Linked DNA regions of Cricetulus griseus. The protein of the gene in region 1 purifies or fractionates together with the protein of each later gene. This does not show direct contact. Links are inferred from orthologs where the notes say so. Each region holds a gene or a part of one and is shown on either strand. Other genes may lie near its edges.

Region 1 (4,475 bases):
CACCTTCAAGGACTGATATTTTAAATGTATTAATACATTAATGCAGTTAAATATGTTAATCTTTCTCTATATAGCTTATACTTGGAGTTTTGTGTGTAAGTCAACATTGGTTTCCTTTTTCTCTCCTGCAAAATTATAGAAATTTTTGAAGGTGAGAAGGAATTATACACAGAACAAAAAAACAGACATTGAGACCCCTTACAGCTATACCTAGTTTCCTTAATTTATCTAGGTAAATAATTACAGAATGACTTGATATAGACACTGAAGGCAGAGAGGCTTTATGTACCCTGCTGTTTTTGGTTTTCAAAGCCTGCCACAGTTTGGCCACACAGCCAGTATATACAAAAATGTGTTTACATTTATATGAAGATGAAATAATGTGAAGAAAAGAATTATCATTATGCTCACATAACACCTACATTTAGAGCTGGCTGCTGTGTTTTAAGATTACTTCTAAACTCGAAGACAAAGAAAAAGGCAGTTAAGCCGGGCGGTGGTGGTGCTTGCCTTTAATCCCAGCACTCGGGAGTCTGAGGCAGAGGCAGGCAGATCTCTGTTGAGTTCAAGACCAGCCTGGTCTACAAGATCAAGTTCCAGGACAGCCTCCAAAGCCACATAGAAACCCTGTCTTGAAATACCAAAAGAAAAAGGCAGTTCAGATGGTGATTATAAATTTGATAAGGGATATAAATGTCAGAGCTCAACTTTAACTATGACTTAAGGTCAACATGACTTTACGTCAGGAGAGCGAAGAGTACTCACTTTCTACTCTGCTGCTGCCTCTGATGCAACAGGCGCCGGTGCTGTGGATGAAGGTGAGTTGTGTCTGGTCTAAACATTGGGGCCTGAGGTCTAAGAAAAAAAGGAAAATGGTTCTTGGTTATCTCATCTTGATGACTTCATTTTAAAAAAGGTTGTCAATACAGGATAATGTCAAAGGTTCACTCAAGGGATTTCCAGAGTTTATTCCAACTGTTATTTTTAAATTTCTTGGATGACTATGAAACACCTTCAGGGTTCTTTCAGTGGACTACTTCAGTGCTTTAGTAGTAAGCAGTATAATTTTTTTTGTTCCTAACAGGGTTAATTCATTTAGCTTCAATTTTTTTGTGGGAATGACATAGAAATTTTATGTATGGTAGTTATTTTACATGTCAATCTAACCATGATACCCAAGTTTAACCAAACTCTAGTATAGACACTGTTATGAAAACATTTTATAGACATGATTTACATTTACAATCAGTTGACTTTAAGAAATTGCCCTCCATAATCTGGGAGGCCCAACAGCCAAAACTGAGAAGTTACTCAGAGAAGAAACCTGTATCAAGATGGGAAATGATGTTCTGCTGGGTCTCTAGTCTAATGGCTGACATACTTCAAGGTCAAGACTGCAATGTGACTCTTTAAGTTTCTAGCCTACTAAATGGATTTCCAATTTGCCAGTCAGTTCCTCGGATTAAAATTAACTTTTTCCACTTATATGTATCTTCTATTGATGTTTCTCTTCAGAACATGAACTGACACGATTTACATAATATGACACAATTTTACCAAAGCAGAAACCAAGTTTATCTCTTTATAAAACCAGCAACTCAGCTGGCACTCAGATCAGCTAGCTTCTTGGCCTTTGTTTCTATCTGTTACTCAACTGTGGTAATTCTTCAGTCATCAGCACTGTGCATTGTACTGCATGAATGTTCAAAAAATGGGTATGAAGTGCAACTCCAGTAAAAGTAAAAGAAGCAGTTAATTTATCAAATGCAAAGGAAGCATGATACTCCGGAGAACAGTGTAGAAACTGAAGACTCAAGCAGTTCTCTGACAACCTGGGGATCCAGGAACTATACTTCTTAGCAAGTATCACAAGAGTTTTATATCATAAAACTAAATGAGAAATGAAACTTTCACACTATAAAACTAAAATGGACTTGGCTGACAATGATCAAGAAGCATGTTTTGTATACCTTAAGTTTTGCAGGTGAGGTCCTGGGCCAGGAGGATGCTGTTGGGGAGGGGGTGTAGCAGGGGGTGGAGCACTAAAGAAGGCACGGAAGCCTGGTGCTGGGGGAAGTATCTGTCCAACTCGCCCTTGTAGCAACTTAGGATTCATGGCAGCCAGGGGGCTACCAACAAATCCAGGGACTCGTGCAAACTGGCTGGGAGACATACGACCAGGCTGTAGCTGCAAAGAGGAACAGATCTTTAATGTAATAGAATTAGCATTTCCAACAGGCCCCACTTCCCTTTGTGACAGGGTCTCATTATGTACTTCATGCTGTTTGGAAACTCCCTGTGTAGCCCTGGCTGGTCTCAAATACATGATCCTAACAGAACCCCTCCCAAGTGTTGGTATTATAGGCATGCACTACCAAAAAGGTAAATACTATTTCCATTAATATCTCCACTTGAGATAACAAAGTGGGGGTGAGGTGGGAGTGGGGAGATGTGTCTAACAGTGAAAGAAAACAGTGTCAAGCAATGACTCTTAGGATAGTAGGATCATCTTTATGGGTATGGCTAACTGTAGGCTTACCTGTGCTCCTCCAAGAAGCTGTGCTCTCTGCAGGGGACTGAGTACAGGAGGAACACTAGGAGGAAAAGGGTGGCCCAGAAGGGACGAATTCTAAGGACACAGAAAAGAGAAATTATGTTCATATTATGGATCAAGCAAATCAATAAATTAAGCAAACTCAATATAAATTTAGCATAAAGTTAGATGCAAAAACTTCCTTGTATCAGAAAAGAAGGCTAGAAATTATGAAAGACTACTTCCATAGAACAAGAAAAAGACAGCATTAGAATGAAAGACTTAAGCAGCTGAAAATAGGAATGAACACAGATTCTTTGTGTGCTTTTCCTTTTGTTGAGAGAGAGTATTGCTAAGTAGCTCAAGCTGGTAGCCTGAAACTCACTCGCTATGTAGACCAGGCTTGCCTGGAATTAAGGATCCTTCTGCCTCAGTCTACTGAGTGCTAGGACTACAGGCATATACAGTAATTCCCAGTCGAGCAAAGAATCTTAAAGTGGCACAAAACAGTAAATTTTTGTCCTTTGATCTTGGGACCACAAACCCCAGAAAACAAGGAGAGATTACCAGAAATTCATATAATATAGGAAATGTCAGCTCTACTACATACTAAAGGTGATCATGAAGTTCACATTAAACATGTGTAAAGTGACATACCGGGACACTGCAGAGCTGGTTTGGAGACATCCTCTCACCATAGGGAGCAGGATAACGTGGTGGCATCGGAGGTCGTACATGAACAGGCTTCGGACACAGAATCTATTAAGACAAATATACACAACTACATTGAATGAAATCAGTCTTTTGCCTTCCTACACTCCCTCCCCTCAAGTACTGGTAGAGACACAGAACTCAATGCAAAGCCCTATTTCTAAGCAAATTGCTCTGGCTATGGGTTCAAACACTGAACCTTTGGTCATTTCCTCTCACAAATCAGTTTCATCTTAACTGAGGAAGATTTAGCTAATTCTCCAGTATCCCCACCCTTCCATGCTATCTGAGGGAAGTACCAGCAGACATTCTGACTTGAAAATTTTCTCCAAGAGGATATATTTTGGTTATAGTGAGGGACAAGGAATGATAAGAAAGCTGGAGGATTAACTAAGTCCTTATTCTGAAGCCTCAGTGATATGGCCGCCATGCTCAGCAATGTTGGGATACATTGTGACTCCACCATTTCTTAGGATATTGAGCCTAACTAGGCCATACCAACACCACCCTCCCCCCATACCTTCCAAATTGGCCTTCCTTTTCAGCTGCTGGTTTCAGGTGGAGGAAAGTCTATGGAACAGGACTGCACAGGCTCTAGGGAAAGCAGGGATATCTTAAAGGTAAAAAGGGATGTGGACAATGCTGAGTGTTCCCACTCCCCCCAGCTTTCAGTTATCTTTCTGCTAATGTACCCGGCAGCCAGCAAAACACTTAAAAAAGGATATATGCACTAATGTGGCTAACTACTCTCTTCTCTCCCAGTTAAAAGGTATCAGAAGCAGCAGCAGCAATTGTATTAGGGAAATGTGTCTCATTTGTACTAACTTCTTCTCTAATTGGCTATTCTTTAATGCCTACCCACAATGTCCACCCTCCTCCCTGTATCCCAAATAATTTTGCCCAGATTCCCAATATCTTGGGCTGTGTACGTTAAGGAAAGGTACCTGTTGGTTGAAGCTGGGAACGGCCATCTGCTTAGGTGGGGTGCCTATAGGAACGGCTCTAACAGGAGGACTTCCAATGACAGGTGATGTAGAACGCCTTGGTAAAGCTCGCTCAGAAAGGTCTCGATCATCTTCTGGGCCCTGTGGGGGCCTCTGAGGCAAGGCATATTCTAATACAGACACCGTAGGCATTTCCTAATTGAGGAAGTGGTTAAAAAGCATACAGAGAAATTAGCTAATTTGTAATGTTTTAATAGTCTCTATAGATACCAAAGATACCTTGAGAA
Region 2 (4,475 bases), on another chromosome or scaffold:
AAACAAAACAAAACAAAAAACATAAAATATAAAAATAAACATTGAAACCACCAAGCAACAACAACAAAAAAGCTCACAACACACACAATCCCTATTCTTAGGAAATATACACCAAGAGACTCACAAGTTAATGAAGTGATTCTATAATTTAACCTGTAAAAGTTCAAGATGGCCAGGAGGCGGCGGCGGCAGTGAATGCTTTTAGTCCCCAGCACTCGGGAGGCAGAGGCAGGTGGATCTCTGTGAGTTCCAGACCAGCCTGGTCTACAAAAGCTAGTTCCAGGACAGCCTCCAAAGCCACAGAGAAACCCTGTCTCAAACAAACAAACAAACAACCCCAAAAGGTTCAAGAAAGGGACTGGAGAGATGGCTGTTAAGAGTCCTGACTACTTTTCCAGAGGAATTGGGTTCAATTCCCAGCAACCCACATGACAGGTCATAGCTGCTTGTGACTCTAGGATCCAATCCCTCAAAGACACACATGCAGGCAAAACAGCAATGCACATAAAAAAAGATATATAAAGTTCAAGAAAAAACTGAGAATGAGCCGGGCATTGGTGGCGCATGCCTTTAATCCAAGCACTCGGGAGGCAGAGGCAGGAGGATCTCTGTGAGTTCGAGACCAGCTTGGTCTACAAGAGCTAGGACAGTCTCCAAACCCACAGAGAAACCCTGTCTCGAAAAACCAAAAAGGAAAAAAACAAAACAAAACTGAATGGTGATGCTTGCCTGTAATCCTAGACTTGAGAGGCTGAGGTAACAAGAGCTCAAAGGCCAGCTTCAGCTAACTTTTAATTTGAGGCTACTATGGACTAGAAGCTGCCCTGTATAAAAAAAAAAAAAACACTAAAAGTACAGAAAAATACTGTATACAAACACACATTACACTATTCCCACACGTCAAAAAAATCAAGTAGGGACTAAAGACATATCTCAACAGTTAGGAATACCGGTTATGCTTCCAGGGAACGCATTTCAATTCCCAGCATGGTGGCTCACAACCATCTTTTTTTTTTTTTTTTTTAACTTTTATCTGCATTTATTTTATGCTGAATTTATTCCCGTGCCGTAAGTTTTGTTTCTTCAATTTCTTCTGGGATATCTTTCTCTTCTGTGCAACCTCCTCTTCTGGCTTTGGAACAATCTGTTCCTTTTCCGTGAGGATCATTCGATGTGGCAGGGGGAGCTCATGAATGGGCTAATCCGCCGTGAGCTCTGTAAATTCGTCGACGCATCTTAGGTGCTTTGTTCACCTGATGTGTTCAATGACCAGAGAATCTAAGTCTAGACCCTTAAGCTCAGCATTACTCTCTGCATTTTTAAGCATGTGCAGCAAAAATTCAGCACTCTTTTTCGGCCACCGACCCTGTGTCCAGCCCCAGGCCTGGGCGCCTGCTGATTCCACCATTGTATTGCTGGGATGGCACACATTGCTTCTTCAATGTGATATCTTTCAGGTATTTGGTGGCTTTTCGGATATGCATACCCTTGATGGCCTGGGCAGTTTCACAGGTATTCTTAAAGTGAACCCGGAGATTTGAACCTCTTGACTTGCATGATTTTGTAGGGTTTTCTGGGTCGAGAGAGTATCGAACCATCTTCACAGGTTATCTCAGGTAGCTTCACTCACAACCATCGTTAACTCTAGTTCTAGGGGGTCTGAGGCCCTCCCTTCTTGCTTCTAGAGGTACTAGACAAATATGCAGACAAAACACCCATCCATGTAATTTTTTTTCTTGTCAAGACAGGGTCTCTGTAGTCCTGTCACTCTAGACCAAGAACTGGAACTCAGAGAGATCTATCTGCCTGCCTCTGCCTTCTGAGTTCACTGCCCAGTTATAAAATGAGTATTTTAATGTTTGCTGAAGTGTATAATGCATGATACATAACCTTCATGTAGCCAAAAGGGTAAACATACCTGAATAGGAGACGGCTTTTCCCAGCCCATTTCAAAAATTCCCATTAGCAACTCCCGTTTCAAACAGTAATCTTCAAATTCATTTCCTTTTGTGGAAGTCACATCCTAATGAAACAAACAATAAAATAAAATGGAACCCTGGTTCTTTCATAGTTAGCATGCTTTAAAAAAAAGTAACAGACCTGAACCCTTTATCCACTTCAGCTTAAAAATGCATATTACTACTGTTTTAATTTCTATTTCAACTTTCCCTGGAGAGTAACTCAACAAATATACATCACTTAAAGATGGAGCTTTGGGGAAAGCACCTATGATCAGTCTAAGGCAGAATATTTCTACATAAATAACATACAATTAACTACAGATATGAAATAAAACCCCAGTTCCCCTACTCACTAGCTACCAATATCTTTGGCTATGTCTTTGGGTTTCTCAAGCATAGAGCTTTGACATTTGTGGCCAGGCTGACATTGGTGTTTTGAGGCTATTTATAAGGATCCCAAGTTGGCAACAAAAAATACTTCTAGCTATTGTTACAAGAAGTGTCACAAAAATCACCCTTGGTTGAGAATATTGGGATAAAGAACTTCTCTGAACACATTCATACATAGTGGATACAATACCTAACCTGAATATAGCACTGAGAGGCTGAGGGGGAAAAAAACTGAGAAAATTAGGTAAAGATAGCAGCTGGGGGTGGGGTGGTAGGGTAGCGTCCACCTTTAATGCCAGAGCTCTGGAGGCAGAGGCAGGTGGATCTAAGTTTGAGGCCAGCCTGCAATCACAGAAGTCTTGTCTCAACAAAACAAAAACCAAACAAACAAACAAAAAGATATGCATGCAAACACACATGCATGGGCACCCACAAGCCAGCATATTTCTTAATATATATATATATACATATATATATGTATATATATATATGAATTTTTAAAGCAATCTAATACCTATTAACCATACAGTTTCAATCATTTCAAATTGCTTTAAGATTAAATATATATGTTGCCTCTACTAAATAGTGAATGAAACCCTATCTGAAAAACTAAAGATGCTCAAAAATAAAATCTAGTTGCTAGCCTGATGGGACATACCTAACTATACTCCCAGCACTAATAAGACTAAGGAAGGAGAACACTGATAGTAAGCCTGGACTATATAGGACATTATTCTCAAAATAGAACAAAAAATAACAAAAGGACTAAACACATGGTGTCATTTCATTCAATTACTTTACTTGTAATTGCCCCTTCCTTCCATTTTTGAATTCTACAACCCAACTTACCGAAGTTTTGATTCTTAGATCCTTTGGAGGGAGTTTTAAAGTCTTTTTCCAGTCATCACCAGGTCTAGAGAGAATATAGTAAACATAGTTGTCACAATTCATAGCTTCCCTGTTAATACAAATGAAACCTTTCAAATAGTACTACCTCTCTAAAAAGCACTTAAGTTTAACATTCCCTGCACTTAATTAACAAAAGTGTTAACTTCAGGAAACATGTTCTTTGAGAAATCATCTAAGGAGGATGAACTTAGTACAAGTGTTTGTCAAACACATCTTATCTGATCTACTAGTCTTTTTAATTAGCTACAAACATTTAACATCTAGATTTCATGTAAAGGCTCAGTTTCTAGATTTTCTTGAAAAAATGCCAAATCCACAACAGTTCAGAGACACTTTGGCAATAATGTTTCAAGTTCTTGTACCGTAACAGTAACTGCAACTTTTTATTTTTTCTTTTTTAATGATAAGAATTGAACCCAGGTCCTTGGAAAAGCCAAGGAGTTACCAGTGGGCTACTTAGTAACCAGAACTTAATATCAACAGGTGATGCTTTTAAACAGTAAGTACTTTCTAAATCAGCACAGTACCCTATAGTCATCCAAGCCTGTACTTCTGGTAACTAGCTGATTCTTGTTAAAACCAAGAGTGTCTGCAGTCCCTGCTACCCAGGAGAATGAGGCAGAAAGACCACCTGAGCCTGGTAGTTGCAGGCTAGTCTGAACAACAGAAAGACCGTGACTCAACACACCATACAAAACCACACAAGTCCTGACGTTTCTAACAGGGGTTAAGTCTCGATTCTATTCCTTATTCCTTCCATGATGCCGCACCAATTACTTCCCCAACCCTCTATACTATCATATACAAACTGGGTGTCTAAATCAATAACATATATAATGATGGCACGATGACATTCACCAGGTGATTCCAGCACTTTGGAGGTGGAAGTAGTACGTTTAGGAGTTCAAGGTTACCCCTGTTACATAGCTACTTGAAGGACAGTCTGGGCTGCCTCCAAAAAAAAAAAAAAAAAAAAGCTAACAGTAATTTACGTAAACAGTCAGTACTAACAAAGTAAGAACTTAGTACTTAGCATTATCTGTTCCTGGACATCCCAGTCCTTTCACCCCAAGCTTCATTTATCTAAAGCTAGAGCCTGCATAAAGAGCAGAGTCTTTTTTTCTTTTTAAAATTTAAATGAAAGCTTGCTATATAGACCAGGCTGCCCTTGAACTCATGATCCTCTGCTTCTGCAGAAACCACTGAATTTTTTTT

What was found. The genes of interacting proteins can lie anywhere in the genome.
Region 2: the proteins of Patl1 (region 1) and Ddx6 purify together in Homo sapiens (affinity purification with mass spectrometry; 6 studies listed by BioGRID and IntAct, with this or other methods). This does not show direct contact. The link is inferred for Cricetulus griseus from reciprocal best matches to the Homo sapiens genes PATL1 and DDX6.

What each region holds. Positions count from the first base shown.
Region 1 is NC_048596.1:48,682,662-48,687,136, forward strand, and holds part of Patl1 (protein PAT1 homolog 1), read right to left. Parts: intron 4,384-4,475; coding exon 4,189-4,383; intron 3,293-4,188; coding exon 3,191-3,292; intron 2,630-3,190; coding exon 2,540-2,629; intron 2,189-2,539; coding exon 1,971-2,188; intron 856-1,970; coding exon 766-855; intron 1-765. UniProt on the Homo sapiens protein: RNA-binding protein involved in deadenylation-dependent decapping of mRNAs, leading to the degradation of mRNAs. Acts as a scaffold protein that connects deadenylation and decapping machinery.
Region 2 is NC_048597.1:156,297,528-156,302,002, reverse strand, and holds part of Ddx6 (probable ATP-dependent RNA helicase DDX6), read right to left. Parts: intron 3,265-4,475; coding exon 3,201-3,264; intron 2,024-3,200; coding exon 1,919-2,023; intron 1-1,918.